Linked DNA regions of Oryctolagus cuniculus. The protein of the gene in region 1 interacts with the protein of each later gene in a pairwise test. Links are inferred from orthologs where the notes say so. Each region holds a gene or a part of one and is shown in the gene's direction. Other genes may lie near its edges. The genes, in order: NPAT and HINFP.

Region 1 (16,500 bases):
GTAAACACTTTTTATTGACAAGCCCTTGTGAATTCATTATAGTAGGTTTTCTTTGAATTCTAGGTAAAACCATTCAGTATTTTTTGCATACGCCAGTACTTTATTTAAAAAAAAACATTCCTATATAAACATTTAACGAGTACATTCCCTTTATCTAAATTTTTATATAGTCTACAACTCCTTGATTTTGTCTTCACAACTGCATCAGTTGCTGACCATAATCAGAGCAATCTATTTGATATTATGAAGAATTATGTGAAAGTGAAGACAGGGTCCTCTGTTCTTGGTTGTTGATTACATTGTCTGTGTGGGAAAGTTAAAAAATCAGATTTAAGTAATAGTTTGTAAAACAGTACAAATGAATGTTTTCAAAAGCACAAACTCCCAAGGCCAAAGAACAAAAGGGAGCAAAATGGGAAAACAGTTCTTAGAAGCTGGAAAGGAGGAATAGTACCTGACATAGAGACCCCAATTCTATACCAGTAAAGGCAAAGCTCAGAAAAAATAAAATTTCTAGGGGCTGCCGCTGTGATGCAGCAGGTTAACATCCTGACCTGAAGCGCTGGCATCCCATGTGGGCACCTTTTCTAGTCCAGGCTGCTCCACGTCCGATCCAGCTCTCTACTATGGTCTGAGAAAGCAGTAGAAGATGGCCCAAGTCCCTGGGCTCCTGCACCCACCCAGGAGACCCAGCGTTGGCTCCTGGCTCCAGATTGGTGCAGCTTCAGCCATTGTGGCCATTTGGGGAGTGAACCATCAGATGGAAGACCTCTCTCTCTCTGCCTCTTCCCTCTCTGTTTAACTCTGATTTTCAAATAAATAAATCTTTAAAAATATATACAGGGGTGACGAAGCAGCAAGAAGTAAACTTGTATTCTCTCCATTACATGCTACCCACCCTGCAAATACTACTGCTATTCATAAATTCTGCCAGCAATGAATATGACTTGATTGAAAGTAAAGAGCTAAAAATATATGTGGTTCTGGAAGGTAGTTCTGTAGCTTGGATTTTGTCCCTCCTACACCAATTGGCATAGAGCTTACATAAGGCAGCTTTTGGCATAGCACTTTTGAATGAGTAGATAAGCGAGAATTATGTAGCACTTTAAGAAAGCATTTAATATGAAGAGAGCAAAGCAGACAAGAAAAAAAGATGGAGATAAATTTATACAGAACGATATAAAACAATCTACTACAAAATACTACATTTGTTTTTGATTAGATATGTATGGATAGTTTGTATATTCATTTGAATTTTGAGGAATGTGTTCATCAAAGTGATTAGTTAAGTGTCATTTAAAAAAACGTTCACGTTCTACTTTCTAGTCTTACTGCGATAGTTGTTTTTGTTTGTTTGTTTTTATTTGACAGGCAGAGTTAGACAGCGGGAGAAACAGAGAGAAAGGTCTTCCTTCCATTGGTTCACTCCCCAAATGGCCGCTACGGCCAGTGCTTTGCTGATCCGAAGCCAGGAGCCAGGTGCTTCTTCCTGGTCTCCCATGCAGGTGCAGGGCCCAAGCACTTGGGCCATCTTCCACTGCCTTCCCGGGCCACAGCAGAGAGCTGGACTGGAAGAGGAGCAACCGGGACTAGAACCTGGCGCCCATGATGCCGGCACTGCAGGCAGAGGATTAACCAAGTGAGCCACAGCGCCAGCCCCTCTGCAATAGACTTAAAGTACAATCAGTTTTCTTGAAGGGAAATGTTTTTGCATACAAAGTCAAAGATATTAAATGTCTGCTAATTATTTTGCTTTTACTAAACCATATTAATTCAGTTAGGATCTTGCCTTTACCTCACTCTTTTGCAGAGCGAAATTCACATGTCTGAAGAAGTTATACAGGATATATTGGAACAGACAGAATCAGACCCAGCATTTCAGGCCCTCTTTGATCTCTTTGACTATGGTAAGTGTATTGTTGCTTTCACAGCAGTTAGACAAAAAAATTTCTCTAGTTTCTTTGGTTAACTTAACACAAGCAACACTCCATAGCACGTCTTGAAAAAGTTCTTAACTTTGTTAAAGTAAATATTGTATGAACAGGTAAAAGATAGTGTCTTGCTTCACTTTGTTTTTACTTAAATTTTAGCCGTTAAATGGGGAGGCTTTATTTTTTTATTTTTGTGAGCATTGTGGCCAGTCAGCAGACTGTTGAGGTCCAGTACTATAATTAATAAACAAAATAGAAAATACAAAAGGAGTATGAAAAATTGGCCATTTTCTTCAGTTTCTTAATCTAGTGCAATAGTTCTCAAATTACAGCCCCAAAAATCAGCACTATCAACTTTATCTGAGAACTTGGGGCCTCCAGGAAATTCTAATACAGTTAAATAACCACAGGACTAGTGTCGCTCCCCCTCTTCGTGGAGGAACGACACAGGACCCTACGCTGTTCTTTCGTCTGCTCGGCCCTTCCCGGGTTTGCTGCTGGTTCTTCCCGGGTTGGCTACTGTCCCTTCCACCTCCGTGGAAGGGCGGTTCCCCCTACCACATTCCCCACTTCCGCAGGGGAGCGGCACACCGCCGGCCGGCTCTCTCGGGGGCTGCACAGGTGTTCCCCTTAGATGTTCCCCTTAGATGTTCCTGGTGCATGCCGTCTCTCTCCTCCTTTATAGTCCTCCTCCGCCAATCCTAACTCGGCTGCCCACACGCCAAGTACGCTGCTCTCCTCCAATCAGGAGCAAGTCCTACAGTTTATTGGCTGAACTGGAGGCAGCTGTGTAGAAGCTGTTTTCTTCTCTCCCAGCGCCATATTGTGGGAGAGCAGATGCATAGAATAAGTCTTAATTCCAGTAACAGTCTAGTCCGAGTTGCTCCCAGTTGCTCCCCACAGATCCCCCTTTCTTTTTATTTTTTGGCGTTGATACGCACCTGTCTTCGGTGTCCCGCGGCACACACTCTGCTCTGCTTGCTAGAGTTGCCACAGGTTCTTACAAGTCCTATCAATCAGGCAAACCGAATCCGGGTCCTCTCTTCGCCATGTTGTGAGGAGGTTTTTAGGCGCTGATGCGTGCCTGTGTTCGGTGACCTGCGGCTCATACTCTGGTCGAGCCGCCTGCTGGTGCTTATTGCCTTACTAATCAGGCAGACCGAATCCAAGCCTTCTCATTGCCATATTGTGGGGAGGCCTATTGGTGTTGGTTCGTGCCTATCTTCGGTGACCTGCAGCTCATACTCTGGTCGAGCTGCCTGTTGGTGCTTACCGCCCTAATCAGGCAGACCGAATCCAAGCCTTCTAATTGCGGTATTGTGGGGAGGCCTTACTGATGTTAATTCGTGCCTGTCTTCGGTGACCTGCGGCGCATAAGCTGCTAGCCGCCCGCAGGTGCTCACCGCCTCCCTAATCAGGCAGACCGAATCCAAGCTTTCTCATTGCCATGTTGAGGGGAGGCCTTTCTATTTCTCTATTTCTCTATCTCCGGGCATTCCTATTTCTCCCATTTTACTTCTATCTTCCAGCATTCCTATTTCTCTCATTTTACTTCTAAACTTCTGTTTCTCTTATCCCTGCGGCTTTCCGGTGCCCGCCCCGAAGCCGCTTCTCGGCGGCTTTCCGGCTCTGAGCCGCTTCAGCCCGCGCCTCTCTCATCTGCGCGGCTTCGCGGCTCTGCGTGGCTCGGCTTCGCGCGCACACTCCGCGGTCTCTCACTTAGCCCAGCGTTCCCTATCTACTTGAGCCCCGCGCGCTCTGTCTGCGCGCGGCAGCCTCCGCGAGTCACACAGCGTAGCTTACGTCTCCGCCATTAGCATTCAATCTAAGTTCCCCGGGCTAGCCTGGCGAATTCAACCCAGCTCACGTCTCCGCCCCACGATTTGGCTTCCCGTCCTTTGCTCCCCGGGCTAATCAGACAGATCCCAACCGGGCTTACGTTTCTGCTTCTGGTTTTAACTTTTCGCCCCCTATTCCCGGGCTAACTTGAGAATCCCAAAGTGGCTTTCGTCTCCGCCTCGGCCTGCCCCCCGCGGCTTCAATTTCCCTAACATTTTTCTCTACCCGGTATGTTTCCCCAAGCTTTCCTCCAACGATACTCCTCCCCCACTTCTCCTGGCCTCTCCCCACAGTCCGCATCCGAGTTTGTTCTAGCTTTCACTTTCGCTTTCGACCTTAGAGATTTCTCCCAGCTTCCCCCCGTAGTCCGTATCTGAGTCTATGCCTAGGCTTTCAATAGCTTCTTCCGGCACCTTTTTCGTCCGGCTTTTCCCTAGGCTGTTTGCTAGTCTCTCTCTCCGGTATTTTCCCATTTCTTCCCGTTTCTTCCCTCCTAAGTTTGCTATCCGTCCTAGGTTTCCTATCCGAGTCACGGCACCATTATGTCGCTCCCCCTCTTCGTGGAGGAACGACACAGGACCCTGCGCTGTTCTTTCGTCTGCTCGGCCCTCCCCGGGTTTGCTGCTGGTTCTTCCCGGGTTGGCTACTGTCCCTTCCACCTCCGTGGAAGGGCGGTTCCCCCTGCCACTTTCCCCAATTCCGCGGGGGAGCGGCACACCGCCGGCCGGCTCTCTCGGGGGCTGCACAGGTGTTCCCCTTAGATGTTCCTCTTAGATGTTCCTGGTGCATGCCGTCTCTCTCCTCCTTTATAGTCCTCCTCCGCCAATCCCAACTCGGCTGCCCACACGCCGAGTACGCTGCTCTCCTCCAATCAGGAGCAAGTCCTACAGTTTATTGGCTGAACTGGAGGCAGCTGTGTAGAAGCTGTTTTCTTCTCTCCCAGCGCCATATTGTGGGAGAGCAGATGCATAGAATAAGTCTTAGTTCCAGTAACAGTCTAGTCCGAGTTGCTCCCAGTTGCTCCCCACAGACTAGTGTAAAAATTTTTCTACTGGGGCCATCGCTGTGGTGTAGCGGGTTAATGCCCTGACCTGCAGTGCTTGCATCCCATATGGGCGCAGGTTCTAGTCCCGGCTGCTCCTCTTCAAATCCAGCTTTCTGCTATGGCCTGGGAAAGCAGTAGAAAATGGCCCAAGTGTTTGGGCCCCTGCACCCACATGGGACACCCAGAAGAAGCTCCTGGCTTCAGATGGGCGCAGCTCCGGCCATTGCAGCCAATTGGGGCGTGAACCAATGGATGGAAGACCTCTCTTTCTCTCTCTCTCTCTGCATCTCCTTTCTCTGTGTAACTCTTGACTTTCAAATAAATGTTCTAAGAAAAAAATGTTTGTACTTACAAATTATACGTAAAACAGCATGTTAAGGGGCTGACACTGGCGCGGCGGGTTAAAGCCCTGGATAGCAGCACCAGCATCCCGTGTGGACAGTGGTTCAAGTTCCGGCTGCTCCATTCCTGATCCAGCTCTCTACTAATGCATCTGGGAAAGCATTGGATGATGGCCCAACTCCATGAGCCTGTACCCCTATGTGGGAGACCCAGATGAAGCTCCTGGCTTCGGGTTGGCCCAGCTTTGGCCATTGGTGCCTTCTGGGGAATGAACCAGCTGATAGAAGATCTCTTTTTCTCTGTCTCTGCCTGTCTCTCTAACTCTCTTTCAAGTAAATAAAATAAAAAAAAATTTTTTTGACAGGCAGAGTGGACAGTGAGAGAGACGGAGAGAAAGGTCTTCCTTTGCCGTTGGTTCACCCTCCAATGGCCGCCGCGGCTGGCGCACTGCGACCAGCGCACTGTGCTGATCCAATGGCAGGAGCCATGAGGTGCAGGGCCCAAGTACTTGGGCCATCTTCCACTGCACTCCCTGGCCACAGCGGAGAGCTGGCCTGGAAGAGGGGCAACCGGGACAGAATCCGGCGCCCCGACCGGGACTAGAACCTGGGGTGCTGGCGCCACAAGGCGGAGGATTAGCCTAGTGAGCCGTGGCGCCAGCCTAAATAAAATAAATTTTAAAAAGTATGATAAAATATCTAAAAAGCCAAAATTAAAACCAAAATTTAACATTTGCTTGACCCCTTATTTTATACTGGTCATTAATTATTTCCATGTGTCTTTTTTTAACAGGTAAAACAAAGAATAATAAGAATATATCACAGAGCATTTCTAGTCAGCATATGGAAACCAGTCAACATATGGAAACCAATCAACATATGGAAACCAGTCCCAGTATAATTTTAGAAGATGAAACTAATGTAGCACCTAAAGGTACTTTTAAAACAGAAGATTCTGGTAAGAATTTGATTTTATCAATCCAAATCTTTATATTAGTCTTAAAATTCAAAAGGAGGAAATACTTGAAAGTTTGTCAGTTTATCACAAGGGTCTTTATTTCTAGTTTTTTCTCCATTAAAAAAGAAATTATTCCTGGGGCCGGTGCTGTGGCGTATCAGTTAAAGCTGCCGTTTGCAGTGTGGGCATCCCATATGGGCGCCAGTTCAAGACCTGGCTGCTCCACTTCTGGTCCAACTCTCTGCTTATGTCCTGGGAAAGCAGTAGAAGATGGCACAAGTCCTTGACCCTCCGCACTTGCGTAGGAGATCCAGAAGAAGCTCCTGGCTCCTGGCTTTGGATCGGCATAGCTCCGGCCATTGCGGCCATTTGGGGAGTGAACCAGCAGATGGAAGACTGCTCTCTCGCGCACGCTCTCTCTCTCTCTCTCTCTCTGTGTAACTCTGACATTCAAATAAATAAATGAATCTTAAAAAAAAAAAAAAAAAACGCATTCCCAAGAGTTCAGTAGTTTGAAAGGTGAACTTTTGAACTTTTAGTGCTCATTGATTTATCTTACAGTATGTTCTGGGAAAGAGGATTTTTTTTGTGTTGAGGATAAGGTTTTTTAAATTTTTTTAATTGACATAGTAATTGCACATTTTATGATGTACATTGTGCCATTTTAATACCTGTAAACAAAGCATAGTGGCATGTCATGCTAGACACATCCTCTTTCAATCCCTTCCTACTGCTTACCCTTCCCAGGCTCTGGTATTCAAATGCTAGTCTCTTTTACTTTAAGATCAACATTTTAGCTTCGACGTGTAAGGGAGAACATGCAGTATCTGTCTTTCTGTGCTTGATTTATGTCACTTAATGTGATATTCTTCAGTTCTATTTCATAACAAATAACAGAGCCTCATTCTTTTTTGACTAAATAATATTCCCTTCTGTACATTTACCATATTGTCTTTATCCATTCTGTCATTGGACACTTAAGTTAATTTTGTGTCTTGGGTATTGTGAATGGTTTTATAGTAAATATGAAAGATTCTTAAACATTTCAGTTCATTTGGATATGTACTCATTAGTAGAATTACTGGATCATAAAGTAATTGCATTTCTAGCCTTTAAAAAAATTTATTTATGTTTAAGGCAAAGGGACAGAGAAAGGGAGAAAGAGACCATCTTGGATCTACTATGCACTCCTCAAATGGCTGCGATGGCTGCGACTATCACAGGTCAAAGCCAGGATCCTGGAGCTCTGTCTGGGTCTCCATCTGGGTCTTCCCTATGGGTGGCAAGAGCCCAAGCCCTATTGCCATCCTCTACTCTTTTCATAGGCCCATTAGCAGGGAGATCAAAAGTACAGCAACCAGAACTTGAACTGGTCTCTAGTATGCCAACATTGCAGGTGGCAGCTTACCCCACTGTGCTACAACATCAGCCCCTATTTTTTTTTTTTTTTTTTTTTTTGGCAGGCTGAGTGGATGGTGAGAGAGAGAGACAGAGAGAAAGGTCTTCCTTTGCCGTTGGTTCACCCTCCAATGGCCGCCGCGGCCAGCGCGCTGCGGCCGGCGCACCGTGCTGATCCAATACATCAGCCCCTATTTCTAGCTTTTTTATGGAAGCTGCTTAATGAGAGTTACACTGTCTGCAAATACTCATCAGCATTTATTTTTTTGTCTTTGATGATAGCCATTCTACCTGTGATGAGATGGTATTTCATTTTGGCTTTGATTTGCATTTCCCTGATGAATAGTAATGCTGAGCATTTTTTCATATACTTATTTATTTCTAGAACCTCTTTTGAAAATTATTCATTGAGTTGATTCACTGAATTTATAATCGGATTATTTTTTGGCTGTTGGATTGAGTTCCTTATGGATTGTGGAGGTTAATCCCTTGTTGGATGAATGGTTTGCAAATAATTTATTCCATTCTGTGGGCTGTCTCTTCAGTCTGATTGTTTTGCTATGTAGAAAGTTTTTGGTTTGTGTAATCCCATTTGTAAGTTTTTGCTTTTGCTGCCTGTGTTTTTGAAATTATAGCCAACAGGCCGGCGCCGCGGCTCACTAGGCTAATCCTCCGCCTAGCGGCGCCGGCACACCGGGTTCTAGTCCCGGTCGGGGCGCCGGATTCTGTCCCGGTTGCCCCTCTTCCAGGCCAGCCCTCTGCTGTGGCCAGGGAGTGCAGTGGAGGATGGCCCAGGTGCTTGGGCCCTGTACCCCATGGGAGACCAGGAAAAGCACCTGGCTCCTGGCTCCTGCCATCGGATCAGCGCGGTGCGCTGGCCACAGCGCGCCGGCCGCGGCGGCCATTGGAGGGTAAACCAACAGCAAAGGAAGACCTTTCTCTCTGTCTCTCTCTCTCACTGTCCACTCTGCCTGTCAAAAAAAAAAAAAAAAAAAAAAAATTATAGCCAACAAAAAGGCTTAGCCTAGACCGATGTCATGAAGAATTTCCCCTGTGTTTTCCTCTAGTAGCTTCACATTTAGGGATATTTGAAACCAGTTGTGTTTTTGTTTTCTGGATTTTTTTTAAGCCTACTGGTAAATATTACATGTCCTTAAGCAGGTATACTTTTTCCTTTACCATGTCAGCTATTTTCTAAAAAATTGATAAAAATAATTTGTCATTTATTTTAAAAGGTATGAGTAATTTGAAAGATGCATGTAAACACTTTGATACTCAGAAAATGAGATATGAGATATATCCTATTTTTACCTACTGACCTGTAAAAGATTAGTTACTTCCTTGGCAAAATAGGCTTTATAATAAATTGCCTCAGAAGCTGAACTTACCACATTTTTCCACCCTCCTGCTGTTTTGCAGATGGACAGTCTGGTCAACCCTCATTTTGTTCATCCTATCAAAATGAAGATGCATTAAATGCTTTGAAAAATGGCAGCAACCATGATGGGCTTAGACAAGACGCCCAGGAAAATTTTTCCCACATAGGTCCTAGCATCCAGAAGAAGGCCTTTAAAGCAGCTGTACCTACTGAAGAGAAGTGTAACCTTGACATTACTTTTGAGTCTGTGCCTAATTTGAATGACTTTGACCAAAGAGGAGATTCTGTTGCTGAGTGTGATGCACTCTACCCCACTCAGATGTCTGCTGAAACTGAAATGGCTATGGAGGTTGAAAAGAATTCTTTGTCTCCAAATGTACAAGATGAATCTCACTTACAGCCTGAAGTACCAATAACTTCACTTGTTTCACTTGGTGGTGAAGCTAACAATGAAAATCTACTCTCTGGGAAAAATTCTCAACTTTTATCTGAAAATACTTCATTAACTGAAAAGTCATCCAAGAAAAATCAGTTTTGTGAAAGTCCTAATAATTCAGTGGGACTTAAAACTAACTTCCATGGTTCTAAGTCACCGAAGTCTAGTGAAATTCATGAGAGTAAAATTGAAATTAGTAATGTGTTACCAGTTGTGTCACAGCAATTATCAGATTGCCAAGATAATTCTTCACCACAAAGTAAAATACTACCTTTATCTGTGGAAAGTTCAAGTTTAAATGTACAACAAGTAGAAATTAGTTTTGGAGAGTCCATCTCTTCTAATAAACAACCATCTAATGATTCAGCATCTATTGAATTAAACCATACAGAAAATGAAACTGAGCCATCCAAGTCTGAGAGAGTTACTTTGGATTCACAAGACCCTTCATCTACTATAAAAGAAGTTGGAGATGCCATTTTTCTGTCTTTAGATGGAAGTGATAACTGTAGGGAAGTTGCATTGGTGCCTCCAGAAGATAATTCTACAGAAAATAGTCACTCTCCTCCTTCAGAATCTGTGTGTTCTGCAGTGGGAGATGCTCACCCTGAGTCCCAAAATACTGCTGATAAGCCTTCTAGTGACAACTCAGCAGAGATAGATGCAGCAAATATCGTCTCTCTCAAAATTATCATTAGTGATGATCCATTTGTTTCCTCAGATACAGAACTTAATAGTGCTGTTTCTAGTATCAGTGGAGAAAATTTGCCAACTATAATTTTGTCCTCTCCCGCTAAATCACCTGCCAAAAATCCAGAGTTAGTTAAATGCCTGTCTTCAGAAGAAACTGCAGGTGCTGTTGTATCTGCTGAAGTAGGGGATTCAGCCTCCATGGAACAGAACCTTTTAGCACTCAAACTTGAGGACTCCGTTGTAAACAACACTCAGAATGAAGATAGCATTGCTTTTCCAGCCAATGTCACACCATGTGTTTCCAAGGATGGAGGATACATACAGTTGATGCCAGCCACAAGCACAACTTTTGGCAATTCGAATAACATTCTGATAGCTACCTGTGTTACTGATCCAACTGCAGCCTTGGGAACAACTGTAAGTCAGTCTAATGTTGTAGTACTGCCCGGAAATTCGGCACCTATGGCTGCACAGCCCCCACCACCTCAGTTGCAGACACCACCAAGGTCAAACAATGTATTTGCTGTCAACCAAACTGTGTCACCAAACTTTTCACAAGGTAACTATAAGAATGTGTTAAAGTTTTTGTCTCTGGATTGGGATCTGATTTCTCTTGTATGTAATTACTAAACTGTAGGTAATAAATCAGATGGTGTGAGAAAATAGTCTGAAATTTGTAATTATGCCTCTTGTTTACACTAGGTGAGTAATTCAGTCACCTTTTTTTTTATTATTTTTTTCCATTTTTTTAACTTTTATTTAATGAACATAAATTTCCAAAGTACAGAATATTGATTACAATGGCTTCCCCCCCCCATAACGTCCCTCCAACCCGCAACCCTCCCCTTATCCACTCCCTCTCCCCTTCCATTCACATCAAGATTCATTTTCGATTCTCTTTATATACAGATCAGTTTAGCATACATTAAGTGAAGATTTCAACAGTTTGCTCCCACACAGAAACATAAAGTGAAAAATACTGTTTGAGTACTAGTTATAGCATTAAATCTCAATGTACAGCACACTAAGGACAAAGATCCTACATGAGGAGTAAGTGCACAGTGACTCCTGTTGTTGACTTAACAAATTGACACTCTTGTTTATGGCATCAGTAATCACCCTAGGCTCTTGTCATGAGCTACCAAGGCTATGGAAGCCTTTTTTAAGAATTGTAAGCCATGAACGGAAGTGGTTTAATTTTTTCTTTTCACAAATAAGGTCTCAATCTTTGAGAAAGAGAAAGAAAGATTAATTCATCACATAGCTGTGTTTTCTTTATCTCCTATAATATTGAATTTTAGTAGGTATGCACCTGGTATGGTTGTAGCCTTCAAGAGAGTTGTCATCTATTTGGAACGATATCCAGGAACAATTTGAATAATATATATGTTTAGTTTCCCTTGTTCATAGGGTGTCTTGTAGCATTTATTACATGCTGTTTTTTATTAATGATTGGCATGCCTGTCAAATTAGTCATTCTAGATCGTATGTTTATCAAAGATAGGACTTACAGTATATCCATCTATATTTCTGTATGTATTGGTTCTTGAGCTTCCCTCCCACCTCCCCCCTTTTTTTTTTTACATCATAGACACACAATAAAATTTTATTAAATGTCATCACTTGTAAGTATTAAACCTGATGGGCCTGTTTGAAGTACTGCCTCAAATAAGAGGTCAGAATTGGTATAGAAACTGGGCTTGAGATAAAGCTTACAGAAATAAGGTAGGATTTGGAGTTAAAGGAAGGAAGTCTTTATAGCCAAACGAAGTAGTGCAAGCATGAATAAGTATTTTAAGACTATAGCAGTAGGCTGGCGCTGCAGCTCACTAGGCTAATCCTCCACCTTGCGGCGCCGGCACACCGGGTTCTAGTCCCAGTCGGGGCGCCAGATTCTGTCCCGGTTGCCCCTCTTCCAGGCCAGCTCTCTGCTGTGGCCAGGGAGTACAGTGGAGGATGGCCCAAGTGCTTGGGCCCTGCACCCCATAGGAGACCAGGAAAAGCACCTGGCTCCTGGCTCCTGCCATTGGATCAGCGTGGTACGCCGGCCGTGGCGGCCATTGGAGGGTGAACCAACAGCAAAGGAGGACCTTTCTCTCTGTCTCTCTCTCTCACTGTCCACTCTGCCTGTCAAAAAAAAAAAAAGACTATAGCAGCTATGTCAAAGTGAAATCAACCTAAGAGTAGTTATTGTATTAGGAAAATACTCTCATTACAGGGCATGGATAAATTGTGATAGTAACAGACTATATTGTTGTTGACCTTTTTTTTTTTTTTTGGACAGAGTTAGACAGTGAGAGATAGAGAGAAAGGTCTTCCCTCCATTGGTTCACCCCTTACCGCTACAGTGAAGCCAGGAGCCAGGTGCCTCCTCCTGAGCACTTGGGCCATCCTCCACTGCCGTCCCGGGCCACAGCAGAGAGCTGGCCTGGAAGAGGAACAACTGGGACTAGAACCCTGCGCCCATAAGGGATGCCAGCACTGCAGGCAGAGGATTAATCTAGTGAGCCAGGGCGCTGGCCCCCTATACTATTGACTTTTTTTTTTTTTTTGGACAGGCAGAGTGGACAGTGAGAGAGAGAGACAGAGAGAAAGGTCTTCCTTTGCCATTGGTTCACCCTCCAATGGCCGCCGCAGCCAGCGCGCTGCGGCCAGCGCACCGCGCTGATCCGATGGCAGGAGCCAGGAGCCAGGTGCTTTTCCTGGTCTCCCATGGGGTGCAGGACCCAAGCACTTGGGCCATCCTCCACTGCACTCCCTGGCCACAGCAGAGGGCTGGCCTGGAAGAGGGGCAACCGGGACAGAATCCGGCGCCCCAACCGGGACTAGAACTCGGTGTGCCGGCGCCGCTAGGCGGAGGATTAGCCTAGTGAGCCGCGGCGCCGGCCTTGACTTTTAATTACTGTGTAAGCATTGTAATTCCCCCAACACATGCACGCACACACCGTGGTTTTGTCTGAATACTCATTTACCTTTTACCTGGACTCTTTTTTTTCTTTTTCTTTTTTCTTTTGAAAAGCATAGTTGGAGAGAAAGAGACAAAACAGACAGAGGTCTTCCTTCCACTGGTTCTTTCCCCAAATTGTCACCACACACGGGGCTGGGCCAGGCTGGAGCCAGGAGCCTTAAGCTCCATCCGGGTCTCCCACATGTGTACAGGGGCCCAAGCACTTGGGTCATCTTCTGCTGCCTTCTCAGGTACATCAGCAGGAAGCCGGGTCAAAAGCAGAGCAGCCAGGACTCAAACCACCAACCATATGGGATGCTGGCATCTCAGGCAGCAGCTTAAACTGCTAAGCCACAGTGCAAGCCCCCACCTGGATCATTTTTAACCAGTGTCATTGATATATAATAGGCTAGGTGTATGGGCAGTCTTAGGCTATAAACATTCAGTTGAGGTTCTAATTTCCTAGTGTAAGACTCAGACTTGAAACGTTCACTGATTTTCTAATTAGTTTCACTGTTTTTTCTATAGGAGTCAACAGTACAGTTGTATGACTTCCTTGCTCATGATTGTTGTGAAAATGTTATCAGCCCATCTTTCTATTCAATTGACCTACTTGTTGGCCTTGCTGTTCTGCCTTAATTTTCTAAAATAATAGATTGTAAGGAAAGATTATTACTTTATTTCAAAGTAACAATTATTTGTTTTGTACCAGAATTATTAAGAGAAATTCTTCCTTTAATGAGAATTATTTTTCAGGATCTGCCATCATAATTGCCTCTCCAGTGCAGCCTGTGCTCCAGGGAATGGTGGGAATGATCCCTGTATCTGTGGTGGGACAGAGTGGAAATACCTTTTCTGCTCCTCCTCGGCAGGTGAGGTTTATGAACTAAAGTGCTATAGTGAAACTTTTCAAACATAGTATAATTAATGCCTTCTTCTCTTGCAGGTCCTTCATATGCCTTTGGCAGCACCTGTGTGCAATAGAAGTATTCCTCAATTCCCTGCCCCTGCAAAATCTCAAAAGGCTCACGGACCAAGAAACAAGCCTTGCATAGGTAACATATTAAGTTTGTTAATGTCAGCCTTATGTTTGTCCATTAGTTTGTAGCAGTGCTTGACTCTTTTCTTCTTGAACACCAATAACATCCTTAACAAGTAGTCATCCTAAGTTTGCTTAAAGATTCATAGCACTAGATATTAGAAGGCAGCCAACCTTGATATAGGACATCTTTGATTCTGATAAGTTTCCTTTTATAAGTTTTAGCTTTGTTCCAGTGTTCCTTAATTTATTCTTTGGAGATACCTAAAATAATAATAATCTTAATTTTCTGATAGCTTTAAAATGTTTACTGAATGTCATATATATTTATATTAGATTTTAGAGGCAGTGTTTGCTGAATGTTTATATGAACTGCTACCTGGGAATCTTGTTAAATGCAATTGCTGAACAGTAGGACTCCCGTAGGGCCTAAAATTTCTTGTTTCTAATAAGCTTTCACTGAATGCCTGTGCTGCTGCTGCTAGGCCACACTTTTGAGTAACAGCCTTTGAAGTTCCCAATTTATTTTCCTTCATTCCCAATTTGTTCAGTGGCTCACCCATCTTAGTATTTATCCATGTCTAAAACCTAGGAGTTTTCTTTTTTTCTTTTCTTAATTTATTTGACAGGTAGAGTTGTAGACAGTGAGAGAGAGAGATAGAGACAGAGAGAAAGGTCTTCCTTCCATTGGTTCACTCCCCAAATGGCTGCTATTGCCAGCACTGCGCCCATCCGAAGCCAGGAGCCAGGTGCCTCTTCCTGGTCTCCCAAGCACTTGGGCCATCCTCCACTGCCATCCCAGGCCACAGTAGAGAGCTGGACTGGAAGAGGAGCAACATGGGATGTTGGCGCCGAAGGTGGAGGATTAACCAAGTGAGCCATGGCGCCAGCCCCACCCCACCAAGAGCTAATTTTAACAGCAAGTACTCAAAGTGGATATTCCACTTTTATTTATTTATTTTTTAAAGATTTATGTATTTATTTGAAAGTCGGAGTTACACAGAGGAGAAGCAGAGAGAGAGAGAGAGAGGTCTTCTATCCGCTGTTTCACTCCCCAGTTGGCTGCAAAGGCCAGAGCTGTACAAATCCAAGGCCCGGAGCCCGGAGCTTCTTCCAAGTCTCCCACATGGGTGCAGGGGCCCAAGGACTTGGGCCATCTTCTCTGCTTGCACAGACCATAGCGGAGAGCTGAATTGGAAGTGGAGCAACCGGGAATTGAACCAGCACCCATATGGGACAGCAGGCGGCAGCTTTACCCGCAAGCCACAGGGCCAGCCCCAATTCCACTTTTATTTTTCCCTTAATTGCTTGTCATGCGTATGCTACAGCAGTTAACACCTGACATTGTGAATATTTGACTCCTCACTAATTTGAGTGTCTTAAGGGCAGTAAATATATAGATTACCTGCTAAATTCCATGATCAGTTTTGCTTTTCCTTCAATATTTATACATGTTACTGTACGTGTAAGTTGTTTTTTGATTTATTGGCATTCTCTCAGACTGTCACATTATACTACTATACATTTCATCTCCTGTCAATGGAACTTTAAGACACTCCCAAAGTTGACCTGACAAACTATGATATGATGAACACATTTTTTTTTTTAAATTTATTTATTTATTTGAAAGTCAGAGTTATACAGAGAGGAGAGGCAGAGAGAGAGAGGTCTTCCATCTGGTGGTTCACTCCCCAGTTGGCCGCAATGGCCGGAGCTGTGCTGATCCGAAACCAGGAGCCAGGAGCTTCTTCTGGGTCTCCCATGAGGGTGCAGGGGTCCAAGGACTTGGGCCATCCTCCACTGCTTTCCCAGGCCATAGCAGAGAGCTGGATAGGAAGTGGAGCAGCCAGGTCTCGAACCAACACCCATATGGGATGCGGGCACTTCAGGCCAGGGTGTTAACCCGCTGCGCTACAGCACCAGCCCCAGATGAACACTTTTTTAAAAATACTTTTTTTAGAAAAAATTTGTTTATTTATTTGAAAGAGTTACAGAGAGAAAGGGGAGAGACAGAGATCCTTCATCTGCTGGTTCACTCCAGCCGCATTTGACCAAGGCTGGGCCAGGCTAAAGCCAGGAACGAGGAACTTGTTCTTGGTCCCTTTTTTTTTTTTTTTTAAGATTTATTCATTTATTTGAAAGGGAGAGTTAGAGAGAAGCAGAGGCAGAGAGATAGAGAGAGGTCTTCCATCCACTGGTTTATTCCCCAAATGGCTGCAATAGCTAGAGTTGGGCCAATCCAAAGCCAGGAGCCAGGAGCTTCTTTCAGGTCTCCCATGTGAGAACAGGGGCCCAAGGACTTGAGCCATCCTCCACTGCTTTCCCAAGCACATCAACAGGGAGCTGGATCAGAAGTGGAGCAGCTGGGTCTCAAACCGGCACCCATATCAATGCCGGCACTGCAGGCCAGGGTGTTAACCCGCTGCGCCAGAGTGCTGGCCCTGATTCTTTAATTTCTTTTTTTTTTTTTTTTTTTTGGACAGGCAGAGTGGACA
Region 2 (16,500 bases), about 11 Mb from region 1:
GGGGCACTCGGGTACCCTAAGAGGGGCAACAGTGGGAGGAAAATGGAGCCAAACTCCCTGGCTCTCTGTTGTCTCCACTTCTAGCGTTGTGACCCTGGTTAAATTACTTCACCTACCTGGGCCCATTTCCTCACTGGTGCAGTGGATAATAATAATAGCTAACACGGTAGAGTGTTGTATTAAAGGGTTTTTATACACATGAAACACCTAGAGCGGTGTTTGGATATGGTAGGTAAATAAATAGAGCAGATTCGCTGAGACAGAAAACTGGAACCCGGATCTCTGACGGCTGGTGCAGAGCTCTCCCGTATGTTGTTTGCATCATTTGCATCGTTCATCTACAGATGGGGCAGTGTGGGACATAGTTCTGTCGCACATCTCTCCTGTGTCTCTAGGGACACAGGGAGAAAAAGAGGAAGTCAGGAAGCTTTGCCTAAGTCAGGTCATTCCCTGTCACTAGGTAGCCAGCTTCCTGGGTCTTCCCACCCAACCCCACCGTGGGAACGCGTTTAGAACATTTGTGCTCAGCACTGTGGGCACCGTGGAGAGACCCAGATGCGCCTGCTGGGGCCTCTACTCAGAAACAGCTTATAGCCCAGTTGTGTAAACAGGAACAGAACACATAAAAAGACCGTGAGTGATCCTCATGGTGTCCTAATTGGGTTGAGGTTTTATGATGTCTGTCAACAGTGCCAGCCCTAGAACCAGAAGGCCAAAGAGTTGTTACTGAAGAGTAGCATAGTTTAGGAGGGCTTCCTGGAATATGATCATCCGAGACCTGTGAGCACTGGGGCCTACGGAGCTCTGTGCTGGTCCCTGCCCTGTGAAACGTGTAGTCTAGGGAGACCGCTTTCTGTTGCGTTGGAGCAAGCGCTGCAGTGAAGGGGTCTACGGGACGCTGTGGGCAGGAGATGGGAAACTCCAGCTGACCTGGTGAACTGGGGAGAGGGAGACCAAGGAAGGGACCTTGGGGTCTGAAGGATGAGCTGCTGCTTCGGCAGAGTTTCAGGAGAGTGAATCAGAGAGGCAAGGGAGAGGAAGCTGGAGAAGCAGCATGGTGTGGTGGTGGTGAGGGGGTGTGATCCTTGGATCAGAATCAGGGCCCTCTCAGAGTAGTGTAGTGACATGTGGAGCGGGGTCATGGCAGGGCTAACGTTACCTGGGCCCTCGTGGGTGTGAATTTCCACACCCAGACTCTGGAGAAGTAAGTTGAAGCTAGTTTGGAAAGTCTTGCATTTTCCATACTATAAGCGGTAGAGAGGAAGTTTGGGATTTTATGTCTGGCTTAGGGAGACTTTCCCTACCCCAACTTTATGAAAGCAGTAGACGTTTTCTCCTGATAAAGCCTAGGAGCAGCCCTGCAATCCTTGTCTAATCCAGTGTCCCGGTGACTGGATTCTTCTCTGAGGAGGAGAAAAGACCGGGTAGGTTTAGCAGATAGAGTAGGTTCAGAGCCTTGTACTTGGAGGCATGAAGGATTTATGACCTTATTTTATTTCATTTATTTTATTCCTCTTAATATTCAGTAAAGGCCTTTTACAGAGTCCTCATCAGTCTCAGGTAGGCCAGAGTCGGCCGTGCCCTGTTCCCTTCCAGGGTCTGCTAGGGTGGGGGCAGTGAGATCCCCTAGGGGAAGGTGGCATTCAGGGGACACAGTCAAGGCTTTTATTGTTTTCTCTCCTCCCAGAACTTTAGGTTCCAGTGTCATCCTTTTTTCTGTGTTCTTTTTTAATGAGAGAAACTTTTGCCGTTTCTTGAAGTATGCTGCTGGTACTGCCTGGATCAAAACTGAATGCTGAGTTTTAAAAGCAGATTTCTAGGCTCACCTGCCACTTTGCTGAATCTGAACTTCTAGGGGGAGGGACTGGAGAACCCTATTTGTGTGTATAGTAAGCATTGAAAACATTTAGTTTTATAATCGTCTCTCTCTCTAACAAATAGTTATTATATGCCTAAGTTTGTCTAGCAATTTATAGGTGCCTCGGGTGCAGTGTAAATGAGACAGGTCTTCTTTATGTTTTGTTTTTAAAGGTTTCTGGCACAGCAATGCCTGGTCAGCCACCCCCCAAATACTTGTGGGATGAACTTAGGACGACCTCGAGGCAATAACCCATGCGAGGTCATCCCATCCGCACCCAGTGAGGATCCCCACATTTGTGGCAGTCCCCAGGCACCCCAGGCTCTCAGGGTAGCTGCTATACCCCATCCCACCCGCATGTTTGCCATAAATGTAGGAATGGACGCAAAATTCAGACCCTGGATTCCAACGCCTGTAAAAAGGCGTCTGCTAACCAAGGGTCGAGGATATGCGTGTCTTTCCAGAGAATGCGGGACAGCCCATTGTGTACCAGCCAGAAACATCAAGCCTACAACTGATAGCCAACCAGAACCAGCTGAACAAGACTGAGAGCCCACCTTGTTAGCGGATGTACTTGCCCTATCATCCTACCCTGAGGAACTGTAGCCACATCCATTACTGTTTTATACCCCACTAGCTCTGGTCAGCCACTCGAACAGCCCACAGCCTGTGTGCAGTCATGCCAACCTGATTACCATTGTTCCTCATTCCTACCCCCATCTGAGCAAGCACTCCTGTGGTCTCCCGTTTTGAGCGCTGGTTAGTCAATGATGGGTAAGATCCCCTGGAGGACAACCTAAGACAGGCACAGCCGTGTATGGAGACCACATGGAAACGGGGTCAACAATGGTATGGCCAAGAATCATGCCTCCCGTTGCTCAAAAATAAAGGAAAAGGGGGAAATGTGGAATGAGAAGGCCATGCCAAGATGGCCGCTGGCAACGGAAACTGCCTGGCAACAGGCTGTGATTGGATGGCTTCAGAAACTGCCTGGCAACAGGGTGTGATTGGTTAGGGCATAGACTGCCCCTTGACCGGATTGGCTGCCTTGGCTATATAAGCTGCTGTATCAACTGAAATAAACGAGTCTGCAGGCTGCTCGCCTCAGGCCTGCTTTCACCAGATTCCTGCGGTCTGTGTAGTGACTCCGCGCCTCTTGCCCTCACCACGTTCTTCCTCTCAGAAACAAATCAACCGCAACAAAGGTTGACTCTTTTTTTTTTTTCCTAAGATTTATTTGAAAGTCAGAATTACAGAGAGAGAGGGAGAGACAGAGAAAGAGGTCTTCCATCCACTGGTTCACTCCCCAAATGGCTGAAACGGCTAGTGCTGGGCTGATCTGAAGCCAGGAGTCAGGAGCTTCCTCTGGGTTTTCCACGTGGGTGCAGGGGTCCAAGTACCTGGGCCATCTTCTGCTACTTTCCCAGGTACATCAGCCAGGAGCTGGATCAGAAGTGGAGCAGCTGGGACTTGAACCCATATGGGATGCCGACACTGCAGGCAGAGGCTGAACCTTCTACGCCACAGTGCTGGCCCCAAGGGTGACTCTTTTACAAAATCTTTTTTACATTAATTTTCATTTATTTGAAAGGTAGAGAGATCTTCTGTCTGCTGATTCACTCTCCAAATGCAGTCAACAGCCGAAGCTGGGCCAGGCTGAAGACAGGAGTTCAGAACTCAATCTAGGTTTCACACATGGATGACTTCAGGAACCCAAATATTTGAGCCATCACTTGCTGCCTCCCATGATCAGTATTAGTGGGGAAGTGGGAAGCTGGAAGCTGGAAGCTGGAATCAGAAGTGGAGCAGGCACTCCAGCCCAGGCCCTTCCATAGAGGGTGGGAGCATCCTAGCGGCATCTTAGCCACTGGCCAAACACCTGCCCCTGGAATCTACGTTTCAACAGGGTGTTTGGGAGTGCTGGGTAATCGTTGGCTAGTTAGGCAGGGGCAGATTGTGTGACACTTTGAAAGTGTGAAGTCTGACAGAGAACTTAAGACATGATGCTATGAGAAGTAAGCAGATTTGGGGCCCATCTGCAGGCTGTGTCCAATAGGAAGATTGAGGACTTTAGGGTGAGCTTTGTTTGACCTTGCTATACCACCAGTGTGTGACCTTGTGCACATCACCTAACTTCAGATCCTTGTCTATAAAGGAGATTAAAAATAGTACGTACCTATTAGCATGGTTGGTAATTAAAGGATGTAATACAAATAAAATGTTTAAGATGGTGCTTGACATAAAGTAGCTGTGAAATTAAAAATAAAAGGTTTTAGGGACAGGCATCGTGGTATAGCAAGTTAAGCAACTGCTTGGGTTGCCTGTATCCCATTTTGGAGTGCTGGTTTGAGTCCTGGCTACTTCATTTCCAATCCAGCTTCCTGGTAACACATCCTGGGAGGCAGCAGATGATGGCTTAAGTGCTTGGTCTCTTGCCACCCATTTGGGAGACCCAGATGGAGTGCTGGGTTTCTGGCCCAGCTGTGGCTGTTGCAGGCATTTGGGGGAATGAACTAGCAGGTGGGAGTTCTCTCTCTCTATTGCTCTGCCTTTCAAGTAGATGAAAATAAATAAATAAATAAACTTTAAAAGGATCTATTAGCTCCATCTTGCAGAAAAGAATGTTCAAAAGTTGAAGGTTAAGTTCTTGGCCAAAGTCACATAGCTAGTAGGTGGTAGACAGTAGAGTCTGGATTTGAATTCTGATTCCTTTCCAGAGTTGTCTCTGAACCTGAGCGTTGTTCTTCCTGCCTAAAGCATAATTCCTTCTTGGTGGGTTGCTCTGAAACTTCAAGAGGAAATGTCTGTTAAAGTGTTTAGCTTACTGCCTAGCACAAACTGGATAGTGTTAGTTTCTGTTCCCTTTTTTCAAGAACACCAGATAGCTTCCAGGAATTTGAAGAACTGCTATTCCATCCTCACTGGAAACACACCTGCTGATTCTAGGCAGGCTGCCTGCCCAGCTGTTTGCCCCAGCAGCACTGGGTGGAATCTTTGCAGCTATGTACTTCTTCCTCTCCCTCCACAGCAAGGCCATGCCACCTGCTGGGAAGGTGCCCCGGAAGGAGAACCTGGGGCTCCAGTGTGAGTGGGGGTCCTGCTCCTCTGTGTGCTCAGCCATGGAGGAATTCTGCGAGCATGTCACTCAGCACCTGCAACAGCACCTGCATGGTTCCAGGGAGGAGGAAGAGGAGGATGACCCGCTTGGTAAGGGAGCAGGACACAGGAAGGGGAAAAAGCTAAAAGGAAGATGGGAAATTGACTTTCCTTTCCCCAAAGGGAGAGGACAGCCTGGGAGAATGGAGGCTTATTTTCCATATTGTGCTTTTTTTGGTTATAAAAACATTGTAAATTTATTTATAGACAATTCAGTCAACAAAAGGATATAGGGAGTGCATCTGCCATCAAGAGGCAGTTACACTGCTTTAGTGAACATTCTTTTTGCCTTCTCTTGCATTTGTGTACTTAAATTAGATGCAGATTTTGTTTTTTGTAAAAAGCTCATACTGTAGAAGCGGTTGGCAACCCTTTCTCTTTAACTCTGGGAGTGCTCCTCTCTCCAACCCCCTCCTCTTCTCCCGCAGCCACCAGTTAGGGGTATCTGTGTGTGTGTGTGTGTTTATGTATCTAGATAAATACAGAAATATAAAGATTTATTTATTTATTTGAAAGGTAGAGCGAGAGAAGGAGGGAAAGAGAGATGGTCCATCTGTTGGGTCACTTTCCAAATGCCTGCAAGAGCCAGGGCTGAAGCTAGGAACTAGGAGCAAGGAACTGTATCTAGGTCTCCCATGCGGGTGGCAGCAACACAAGCATTTGGGCCATCACCTGCCTCCCAGGATGCGCATCAGCAGGTACATGGATGGGCCGCAGAATAGCTTGGACTCAGAACAGGCACTGTGGCACAGGATGTGTGTGTGTGTGCATGCATATGCATGTATTTAAGATTTTATTTATTTATTTGAGAGGCAGAGTTACAGAAGAAGAGAGAGGTCTTCCATCCACTGGTTCACTCCCTAAATGGCGACAATGGCTGGAACTGGGCTGATCAGAAGCCAGGATCTTATTCTGGCTCTCCCACATGGGTGCAGCGGCCCAAGCACTTAGGCCATCTTCTGCTTTCCCATGCCATCAGCAGGGAGGTGGATTGGAAGTGGAGCAACTGGGACTCGAACTAGTTGCCCATATGGGATGCTGGCACCATAGGTGGATGCCTAAGCTACTACGCCACAGCGCTGGCCCCTGCAATATATATTTTACAACACAAAAATTAAAGGAAAAAAAATACCAGGAACAATACTTACTAAATACTGTCTGCAATGTCTGTCTGCCTCTCTCTCTAATATGAGAGGCAGACAGAGAGAGCTCCCATCTGCTGGTTTACTTCCCCGAAGCTGCAGTAATCCCAGGCTAGAAGCTGAAGCTGAAGCTGGGAGCCAACAACTCAAGCCAAGTCTCCTATGCAGGAGGCAGGAACCCAGTCACTTGCGCCATCACTGTAGCCTCCCAGGGTCTGCGTTAGCAGGAAGCTGGAGTCAGGAGCAGAGCTGGGTGCTCTGATGTGAGACATGGTGTCTTAACTGGCATTTTAATTGCTAGGTTAAATGCCTGTCCCTTACTGTCTGTCTCTCTCTTTTTTTTAAGGTTTATTTATTTAATTGAAAGGCAGAGTCACAGAGAGATAGGGGAAGACAGGGAAAGAGAGAGAGCTTCCATCCACTGTTTCACTCCCCAGATGGCTGCTACAGCCAGGTCTGGGCCAGGCTGAAGCCAGAAACTCCATCCAGGTGGCAGGGCCCAACTACTTGGACCATCCTTTACTGCTTTCCCGGGCACATTAGCAGGGAGCTGGATTGGAAGTGCAGCAGCTGGGACTTGATCCAGCACTCACATGGGATGCTGGCATTGTGGGCAGCAGCTTAGCCCACTGCACCACAACACCCGCCCCCCTTGTGCTCCTTTATTTAAAGGGGAGGGGGTACTTTCTGGTGGCACAGCAGGTTAAGCTGCCATTTTCAACACCTGCATCCTATATCAGAGCACCAGTTTAAGCCTATGCTACTCCACTTCTGATCCAGCTCCCTGCTAGTGTGCCTGGGAAGCAGTAGAGGATGAACCAGGTGCTTAGTGCCCTGTCACCCATGTAGGAGACCTTGTAAGTATGGGGACCACTCTCCTTCCCCAACCCGAGATTCTGTGACTAAGCTATAACTGATAGTTTGAAAAGTAATAAAGAACAATCAGAGGATGGTCATATTTTCTAAAATACATACTTTTTTTTTTTTAAATTAATGTATTTATTTGAAAGGCAGAGTTACAGAGAGAGGGAGAGACATCTTCCATCCACTGGTTCACTCCCCAAATGGCTGCAACAGCCAGGACTGAGCCAGACTGAAGCCAAGAGCCAGGAACTTCCTCCAGGTCTCCCATGTCAGTGTGGGGGCCCAAGCACTTGAGCCATCCTCTGCCACTTTCCCAGCTCCACCAGCAGGAAGCTGGATCTGAAGTGGAGCAGCTGGGGTTCGAACCAACACCCATACGGAATGTTGGTGTCGCAGGCAGCAGCTTAACCAGCCACACCATGACTTCAGCCCCTCTACTTTTTGAGACAACCATTTCTTTCTTTTCTTTTCTTTTTTTTTTTTTTTTATTTGACAGGTAGATTTATAGACAGTGAGAGAAAGAGAAAGAGAGAAAGGTCTTCCTTCCATTGGTTCACTCCCCTAATGGCTGCCATGGCCAGCGCTGTGCTGATCCGAAGCCAGGAGCCGGCTGCTTCCTCCTGGTCTCCCATGCGGGTGCAGGGGCCCAAGCACCTGGGCCATCCTCCGCTGCCCTCCTGGGCCACAGCAGAGAGCTGGACTGGAAGAGGAGCACCAGGACTAGTACCCGGCACCCCAACTGGGACTAGAACCTGGGGTGCCGGCACCACAGGCAGAGGATTAGCCAAGTGAGCCACGGCGCTGGCTGAGACACCATTTCTATAAAGCTTTGAAGCTAAGTTGCTTGGAGATGCTAGAGATATTGGAAGTGGATTGGAACCATTGCTGGGGCCTTCCTGGAGAAAGCAGCTCTTGAGCGGGAAGTGGGGGGACAGAGGAGGCTGCGTCTTCCTCAGGGGCAGTGGGCACTGTGAGCCAGAGTCTGTGGTGCCAGCCACACCCGCCGGCTCTGAGCTCGGGCCTTGAGTTTGCAGTTACCTCTGCCTCCACCACACCTGCCCTTCACTTACTGCGGATACGCATCCGTCAGATCTCAGCATGAGGGCAATTCTCAAGACACCCCTGTCTGTGTCCAGCTACCTCTGCTTCATAATTGTATAGTACCGTGGGCCCCTACCCCATCACGCTTATCACTACTAGTTGCAGTTTTATTTTGTAGATGTGATGATTGAGTAATGTTCTTTTTTCCTTGACTGAAAGCTGTGTGAGGGCAAGGACTGGTACTCTGTTATGCTGGTTACGTCCTTAGTGCCTGGTGCACAGTGGATGGTCATTAAGTGATGGTATTTGCTGAAGGAACTCCTGGTAATTTGGTAAGCGCCTGGCCTTATTCCCTGCCAAGTGCTGCAGGTGGAGAGAATGCTGACCCCAGGAAAGGACTGGACTCTCCTTCTAAACCCTTTGCAGGGGAAGAATTCTCCTGCTTGTGGCAGGAGTGCGGCTTTTGCTCTCTGGACAGTTCTGCTGATCTCATCCGCCACGTCTACTTCCACTGCTACCACACCAAGCTGAAGCAGTGGGGGCTGCAGGCCTTGCAAAGCCAGGCAGATCTCAGCCCCTGCATCTTGGACTTCCAGAGCCGGAACATCATCCCTGACATCCCTGACCACTTCCTGTGTCTGTGGGAGTACTGTGAGGTCAGTGAGCAGTGCCAGTCATGGCGGGGGGGGGGGGGGGGGGGCTGGGAGTCCTGACTCAAGCTGTCTTGACCTTCTTAGGGGTGGTTATCTTACCACAGCTCCTGCTAGTGCCTCTGCCCTAGCTCCGTGTAGCTCCTTTCCTCTAACTTTCTATCCCTACCCAGTTAATTTGGGAGAGAGCCAGGAAACCCCTCTGGGCACATGGTGGTAAGGGTCCCTCCACTACCTCAGTTCTCACCTTGAGTTGCCTCTGGCACAGAGCACCTTTGACAACCCTGAGTGGTTCTATCGGCACGTGGAAGCGCACAGCCTGTGCTATGAATACAAAGCAGTTGGCAAGGACAACCATGTGGTGCTGTGTGGCTGGAAAGGTAGGGCCTGTCTTTAACTTCTGGGTCCTGAAAGAAACCCTGGGGCCAGGGCAGCCAAGGAGCGGGCCAGTCCTGCAGGGCTAGCTTGGCTGGCAGCTGGAGAGAGTTGGGGCTCGTAGAGCCTATTGGGGGAGTTTGTAACTGGAACCTGGCCGGGCCTTCCTTCCCAGGCTGCACCTGCACCTTCAAAGACCGCTGTAAGCTTCGAGAACACCTCCGCAGCCACACCCAGGAGAAGGTGGTAGCCTGTCCCACCTGCGGGGGCATGTTTGCCAACAACACCAAGTTCTTGGATCACATCCGCCGCCAGACCTCCCTGGATCGTAAGAGCCAGAGAGCAGGGGTGGGAGCAGGTTGCCCTGCCCGGAGCGTGGTGGGCGCGTGTTTCCCCTGAAGAGATCTGTGGCTTGGCTCCCTCTTCCTTCTGGGCTCACGCACCCCACAGCCTCGGTGCTGAGCCAGTCCCGGGTGCTGTCGCTCAGCACTCACTGCCGTCAGTTATCTCAGGGAGCCCTCAAAGCAGCCCCGTGAGGTAGGCTTCTTATCCCCGTTTCTGCAGATGCAGAAGCTGCGGCTCAGAGAGGTTAAGTCAGTCAGCTGAAATCACACAGAGAGTAAGTGGTGAGGGCGGGCTTCTCTCTCAGGTTCTCTGTTCTGGCCCCGCGTTCTTTCCAGGCTCCTGTGTCCATCCACAGCTCGCTAGGCTCCCCTTTGTCCTCGGGTGCTCCCTTGTGCCTGGGGTGGTCCTCCTCCTCTTCCCTCTCCTCTCCACATCCCCCGCAGCCCTCCTTTCATTGCCTGCCCTGTCCCCAGAGCAGCGCTTCCAGTGCTCTCACTGTTCCAAGAGGTTTGCCACAGAGCGGCTCTTGCGGGACCATATGCGCAACCATGGTGAGTGGCCCGCCACGCCAGCCTCCCCGTCCACCCTCCAGGGCTCCACAAGTCTTCAAACCACAGCCTCCTCTCTGCTCCTCCCAGTGAATCACTATAAGTGCCCCCTGTGTGACATGACCTGCCCGCTGCCTTCCTCCCTCCGCAATCACATGCGCTTCCGCCACAGTGAGGACCGTCCCTTTAAATGTGACTGTTGCGACTACAGGTAAGGGGAATCGGGGCCCAGAAAAAGAGCTCGTGTTCCAGGGTCCCCATGTCCTCCAACCCCCCTCACCTCTCCTGGCAGCTGTAAGAATCTGATCGACCTCCGGAAACACCTGGAAACGCACAGCAAGGAGCCAGCCTACAGGTGTGATTTCGAGAGCTGCACCTTCAGTGCCCGGTCCCTCTGCTCCGTCAAGTCCCACTACCGCAAAGTGCACGAGGTGAGGGGCTGGGGGTGGAGTGGGCCTGGCAGAAGTGTGGGGGAGCCTGGGGTCAAGGGTCAGCCTCACTTCTGCCTCTCTCCTTGTCAGGGGGACTCGGAGCCGAGGTACAAATGTCATGTGTGTGACAAGTGCTTCACACGGGGCAACAGCCTCACCGTGCACCTTCGCCAGAAGCATCACTTCAAGTGGCCCTCGGGGCACCCCCGTTTTCGGTAGGTCCCACAACAACCCTCCCTCCAGGTTCACACACGTTTTTTTCTGTGTCCTGTTTTTTTGTTGTTGTTGTTGTTGTTGTTGTTTTGCGCCAAAGTTAAAAACCTTTGAATGCTTTTATGGTGGGTTACTGTCTGTCAGTTTTCAATGGTGTCACATAAAATCCCAGGATTCCTTCTGCATCTGTCCCTTAAGCTCCCTGTGTGTGAGCTGTTTGGCATCCCCTGCCCACGTGTGCTGCCTTGTGTTCCTCCTCCCCCAGGTACAAGGAGCATGAAGACGGCTACATGCGGCTGCAGCTGGTTCGCTATGAGAGTGTAGAGCTGACTCAGCAGCTGCTGCAGCAGCCCCCAGAGGGGTCCGGCCTGGGATCAGCACTGAATGAGAGCAGCCTACAGGGCCTCATCCTAGAAACGGTGACAGAGGAGCCAGGATCTAAGGAAGAGGCGGAAGAGGAGGAGGAGAGCAGGGGTGGTGAGGGGACAGCCCACTCAGCCTCTCAGGACAACCCCAGCCCTGTCATCCACATGGTGAATCAGACCAACACCCAAGGCCAGCGAGAGATTGTCTACTATGTGCTGGCTGAAGCCCCCGGGGAGCCCCCGCCAGCTCCGGAGCTGCCCTCAGGAGGCATCATGGAGAAGCTTCCAGAACTTGCTGAGGAGCCAGAGGTCCACACTGTGTGAAGCTGCAGAGCCTGGCCACTTCTGCCCCGGCCCCGGAGTTTGAGCTGGGGGTGCAGTGCCCCAGGGGGCGGCTCTTGCAGCCGGATACCTTAGGAGTGATGTGGAGAGCAGTGCGCACTGCTCTTCCTGGGCTTGCATGGTTCTGCGGGCTCTCAGGACTTCCCTTTCTGCCAGACTGCAATTTCTGGGGGTCCTTAGCTACCTGGGTTCTCTGAAGGGATCCTGGCTGTATGTGTTCTTGGTAAGGGGCTGTGATCAGGCTTAACCGTTACTCTGTAGACGTGCTAGACCATGCTGAATTCCTTACTCAGCTTATGTCTATTTCCATGCCACACCCCCTATAAGGGCTTTTCGTTGCCATCAGCCAAGGTATTAGGAACCAGGCATCCATTTCTCTTAGGGGTTCCTACAACAGCAAGGGCTCTACGGTTATCCTCAGGGACGGGCTTGGAGGTACTGAATGTGTGTAGTAGTTGTTTTTTTATAATAAACACTTGGACTGGAACTCATTTCTTCCTAGGTATAGTGGAAGTTAACTGGGTAGCAAGAGGTACATCTTTCTGGAAGAGGAGCTGAGTAATCCGACTTATTCCCCTTTTAGTGCCTGGTGTGGCTTATTTCTGTCGTGTTGCTGCCTCTGCTGCAGCCCCACTTTGGTGAAATGTCTCTGTTCTTTCTCAGAGCATTTGCCATCTCCATGGAGGCCCCCAGCACTTGGACATGAGTGGGCTGCAGATCTATGGCATAGATGAGAATGGGGCTGACCCGGGAAGATGGAGCAGCTGAGCACGGCCACACTGATCAGAACCCAGTGCCCCTGGGGTAAGGTTCCTTACCTCTGGGGCTGTGGGAGGAAGGGAGAGCCGGGTGGATTGGGAGGCTCCCTGGGGAATGGCAGGTACTGCAGGGGGCCAGGAACAAAATGCATTTTCCTGGGGGATAGGATCTGTTTTCAGTAGATTTTCACAGAGGCTGAAACACCTCCAAAATAAAGACATTCTTTAGGCTGGTTTGGCTACTTCTCAGTACGCAGTGTTCATTCTTATGTCTGCTGCCGTGGAGAGGCCAAGGAAATACTCTGAGAGTCTTAGACGACCAGGAAGTTGCCTAAAAAGGATTCTGGATCTGTTAAAGGGCTTGCTTTAAATTCTTACTGCGAAAACTGTCTATTGTTGACAGAATTAAGAAAGGAAAATAAATTCTGTCAGCTTTTTTTTTTTTAAGATTCTTTATTTGAAAAGCAGAGTAACAGAGAGGGAGAGACAGAGATCTTCCATGTGCTAGTCTACTGCCTAAATGCCCTGCAGCAGCTGGGGCTGGGCCAGGCTGGAGCCAGGAGCTGGAGCTCCACCTGGGTCTCCCACGTGGGTGGCCAGGGCCCCAGCACTTGGGGCATCTTCCACTGTTTATCCGGGCACATTAGCAGGGAACCGGATCAGAAGTGGAGCAGCTGAGACTCAGCCAGCACTCATGCCTATGGGATGACAGGATTAGGGAGAGCTTCCATCTACTGGTTCAGCCCCCAGCTGCCTGTGAGAACCAGGGCTTGGCCAGGTGAAAGAAGCCTGGAGTGCACGCAGGTCTGCCATGTGTGTGATAGGTACTCAAGTACTTGAGCCATCACTGCTACCCCCCCCGGGGGAGGGGCATGCATTAGAGGAACCTGGATGTGAAGTGGAGTAGCCAGGACTCCAGGGACTGTGATGTGGGATACAGGCAGCCCAAGTGGTGACTTAGCATCCTGTACCACAGGTCCTCCTCCATCAGCCATTTTCTTTTCTTTTCTCTCTTTCTTTTTTTGGAAAGGCAGAGTTAGAGAGAGAGAAAGGTCTTCCATTGGTTCACCCCCCAAATGGCCGCTACGGCCGGTGCGCTGCGCGGATCCAAAGCCAGAAGCCAGGTGCTTCCTCCTGGACTCCCATGCGAGTGCAGGGCCCATGCACTTGGACCATCCTCCACTGCCTTCCCGGGCCACAGCAGAGAGCTGGACTGGAAGAGGAGCAACCAGGACAGAATCCAGCGCCCCAACCGGGACTAGAACCCGGGGTGCTGGCACTGCAGGTGGAGGATTAGCCTAGTGAGCCGTGGCACCGGCCCATTTTCTTTTCTTTCTTGCTTTCTTTCTTTCTTAGATTATTTGAAAGAGTTACAGAGAGGGAGGACAGAGAGAGAGCTTCCATCTGCTGGTTTAACTGGCCAGATGGCTATAATGGCCAGGACTTGGCCAGGCCAAAGCCAGGAGCCAGGAACTCCAGCCGGTGTCCCACTTGGGTGACGTCGTCTGCTCTTGCTTTCCTTGTGCCTTAGCAGGGAGCTGCATCAGAAGTGGAGCAGCCAGGACTCCAATGCGCTCATGTGGGATGCTGGCATTGCAGGCAGCGTAACCCCCTGGCACAATGCTGTTCCCATCATCTCAGTTCCTGCTGTGGCCCAGGCACAGCTGTTAAGGATACAAAAATAATACCTAGGACCCATCCTGGAGGGACTTGCAGTATAGAGACAAGGAGAGAGTATGTAAGGGAAGTGATAGGAACTTACGCTGTATGTTGAGAAGGTTCAACATGGTGGACCGTAGACCTGGGCATGGGGAAGGTTTTTTTCTAGAAAGAGACCCTAACCAAGACCAGAAGAAGATTGTCAACGCCCGCCATCCTGAAAGAGTGGTGCCCTGTTTTCAAAGGTAGTTCTAAAGAAAAGTGGTGAGCTGAGAAGTATATGTATACGGAAGTCCACCATGGCTACTTTGGTGTTTTATGCACACACACCCATGAGGGCACTTCAAAAAATTGGGGAAATCCATGCCCAATATTTTCTAATACGCATCTTCCATGAGCTTTTTTTTGCTTTTTTTTTTTTTTTTGGACAGGCAGAGTGGACAGTGAGAGAGAGAGACAGAGAGAAAGGTCTTCCTTTTGCCGTTGGTTCACCCTCCAATGGCCGCCGCGGCCGGCGCGCTGCGGCTGGCGCACCGCGCTGATCCGATGGCAGGAGCCAGGAGCCAGGTGCTTTTCCTGGTCTCCCATGGGGTGCAGGGCCCAAGCACCTGGGCCATCCTCCACTGCACTCCCTGGCCACAGCAGAGAGCTGGCCTGGAAGAGGGGCAACCGGGACAGAATCCGGCGCCCCAACCGGGACTAGAACCCGGTGTGCCGGCGCCGCTAGGCGGAGGATTAGCCTAGTGAGCCGCGGCGCCGGCCCCCATGAGCTTTTTGAAGACCCCCTCAGGGGCCTGTGTTGTGGCGTAATGGGCTGAGTCTCCCCCTGCCGCGTCGACATCCCCTATGAGTGTTGGTTCCTGTCCTGGCTGCTCCACTTCCGATCCAGCTCTCTGCTTATGTCCTGGGAAAGCAGTGGAAGATGGCCCGAGGGCTTGGATCCCAGCATTCATGTGGAAGACCTGGAAGAGAATGGCTCAGCTCCAGCCGTTGTGGCCATCTGGGGAGTGAACCAGCGGATGGAAGACCTCTCTCTCTCTCTCTGCCTCTCTCTCTATCTCTCAAATAAATAAAATCATTTTTTTTAAAGTGACTAATTTCCTATTTTAAAAAAACCCTCATAGGTATACTATGAAATTATTTTCCTAATGTTCAAATTTCATTCTTGAAGTCCCAATGTGCCGTTCCGTTTGGTGATCTAAGCAGTGGCTTGGGCTGCCTTTGAGTAATCCGGCGCTCTTGACGTCATCCCTCACTGAGGAGTGCCTTCAGGGTCAGGCCTGCATCCTTTGGGGAGGCTCTTTCCCGACAGTTGTGCACATCCTGCACACTACCCAGACGATGGTGACAGCACGAGAGACTCTGGTCTGCTGTCAACATCATTCCAGCTCCCTGGAAGCAGGTAGGACCTGGAGGCCAAAGCTTAGCATGTGTGGGCTAGGAAGCTCTGGTCTGGGACTGAGGAGTTCAGGCGGATCGAGGCCTGTAGAAATACTGGAGGCTGGGCCTGGGTGAGAGCAGACCCTGGAGAGGAGGCTGGCATACTAGTTTGACCACCTTCCAGTTTCATCTGAAGTCAGCCCTTGTCGCCACATCATGGTGAAGAGTGGAGAACCCGTCTTACTCCTAAAAGGGTGGGGAGCGAAAGCAGGTGGCCCAGGAGTTGGAGGCTGAGGGTGCTTTTCTCTTGCCTGGGGCAAGGTCACTACCTCCGAGAAGGGCATGGAAGAGCTGAATGGATATAAAAACAGATGCTCCGAGATGAGGAGGGAGGAGTAAATGCTTGTGCATGACCTAGTGAATGTGGGCCCTTAATGAAAAGGGCAGTGAGCACATTGACGGAGGCTGGGGGAGCAGTGAAACCTTCAGATCACACAGGACAGCTTGGATTCCTTGTCTGGGGGAGGTCTCTGGAGGACAAGTAGGTTGGCAAAACCTGGAAAGCAATGGGAACGTCACTGTCCATGTGCACTTTAAAGGTTAATTTTATTTCTTTATTTGAAAGAATTATACAGATCTTCCATCCACTGGTTCACTCCCCAAATGGCTGCAAAGGCTGGGGCTGTGTCAGGCCGAAGCCAGAATCCAGGAGCTTTTCTTGGGTCTCCCACGTGGGTGGGAGATGCCCACCCACTTGGGCCATCTTCTGCTGCTTTCCCAGGTGCCTTAGCGGGGAGCTGAATTAGAAGTGGAGTAGCTGGGACTTGATCAGGTACCCATATAAGATGCTGGTGTGGCCACAGTATTTTTTAGTAGCAGACACCAGCCTCCCTGAAGCAAAAGCAGCAAACAGACTACTAGGTAGATCCACAGCAAGGGCCTGACAGGACGGGGACTGGGCAGGGCCAAGGAGCAACATGATGAGAGCAGCTGGGAGGGCTCATGAGGTCCAGACTGGAGAGACTAGAAGGTAGGAGTGGAAATGAAAGCCCTGGACGCTCTAGGGAGACTTCTGATCAGCTGATGTGCTGACAAACGGACAGCTTCAAATGGAGATACAGGGTCCAGAGTATGTTCACGGGAAAGGAGGCTGCTGAGTGGAGGCGGAGAGCACTGGGGCCGTGGAAATTGGGAAGTGGAGCATCTGAGGGCCCAGCAGCCTTGGGCTCTCTGCTCCACCCACCATGGGCTGCAGTTTTTGTTTGTTTTAAAGATTTATTTATTTACTTGAGAGGCAGAGTTACAGAGAAAGAAGTCTTCCACCTGCTGATTCACCCCCCAAATGGCTGCAATGGCTGGAGCTGGGCAGACCT

Evidence for each region.
Region 2: the proteins of NPAT (region 1) and HINFP interact in a two-hybrid assay, tested with the Homo sapiens proteins (2 studies listed by BioGRID). The link is inferred for Oryctolagus cuniculus from reciprocal best matches to the Homo sapiens genes NPAT and HINFP.

The regions. Positions count from the first base shown.
Region 1 is NC_091432.1:99,933,642-99,950,141, reverse strand, and holds part of NPAT (protein NPAT), read left to right. Parts: intron 1-1,810; coding exon 1,811-1,907; intron 1,908-5,949; coding exon 5,950-6,114; intron 6,115-8,931; coding exon 8,932-10,578; intron 10,579-13,722; coding exon 13,723-13,838; intron 13,839-13,912; coding exon 13,913-14,021; intron 14,022-16,500. UniProt on the Homo sapiens protein: Required for progression through the G1 and S phases of the cell cycle and for S phase entry. Activates transcription of the histone H2A, histone H2B, histone H3 and histone H4 genes in conjunction with MIZF.
Region 2 is NC_091432.1:111,165,470-111,181,969, reverse strand, and holds the end of HINFP (histone H4 transcription factor), read left to right. Parts: intron 1-4,886; 5' UTR 4,887-4,893; coding exon 4,894-5,065; intron 5,066-8,487; coding exon 8,488-8,717; intron 8,718-8,979; coding exon 8,980-9,091; intron 9,092-9,261; coding exon 9,262-9,414; intron 9,415-9,904; coding exon 9,905-9,982; intron 9,983-10,069; coding exon 10,070-10,190; intron 10,191-10,271; coding exon 10,272-10,410; intron 10,411-10,500; coding exon 10,501-10,625; intron 10,626-10,888; coding exon 10,889-11,312; 3' UTR 11,313-11,817; downstream 11,818-16,500. Other genes in the region: ABCG4 (ATP-binding cassette sub-family G member 4), read left to right, coding at 12,061-12,134. UniProt on the Homo sapiens protein: Transcriptional repressor that binds to the consensus sequence 5'-CGGACGTT-3' and to the RB1 promoter. Transcriptional activator that promotes histone H4 gene transcription at the G1/S phase transition in conjunction with NPAT.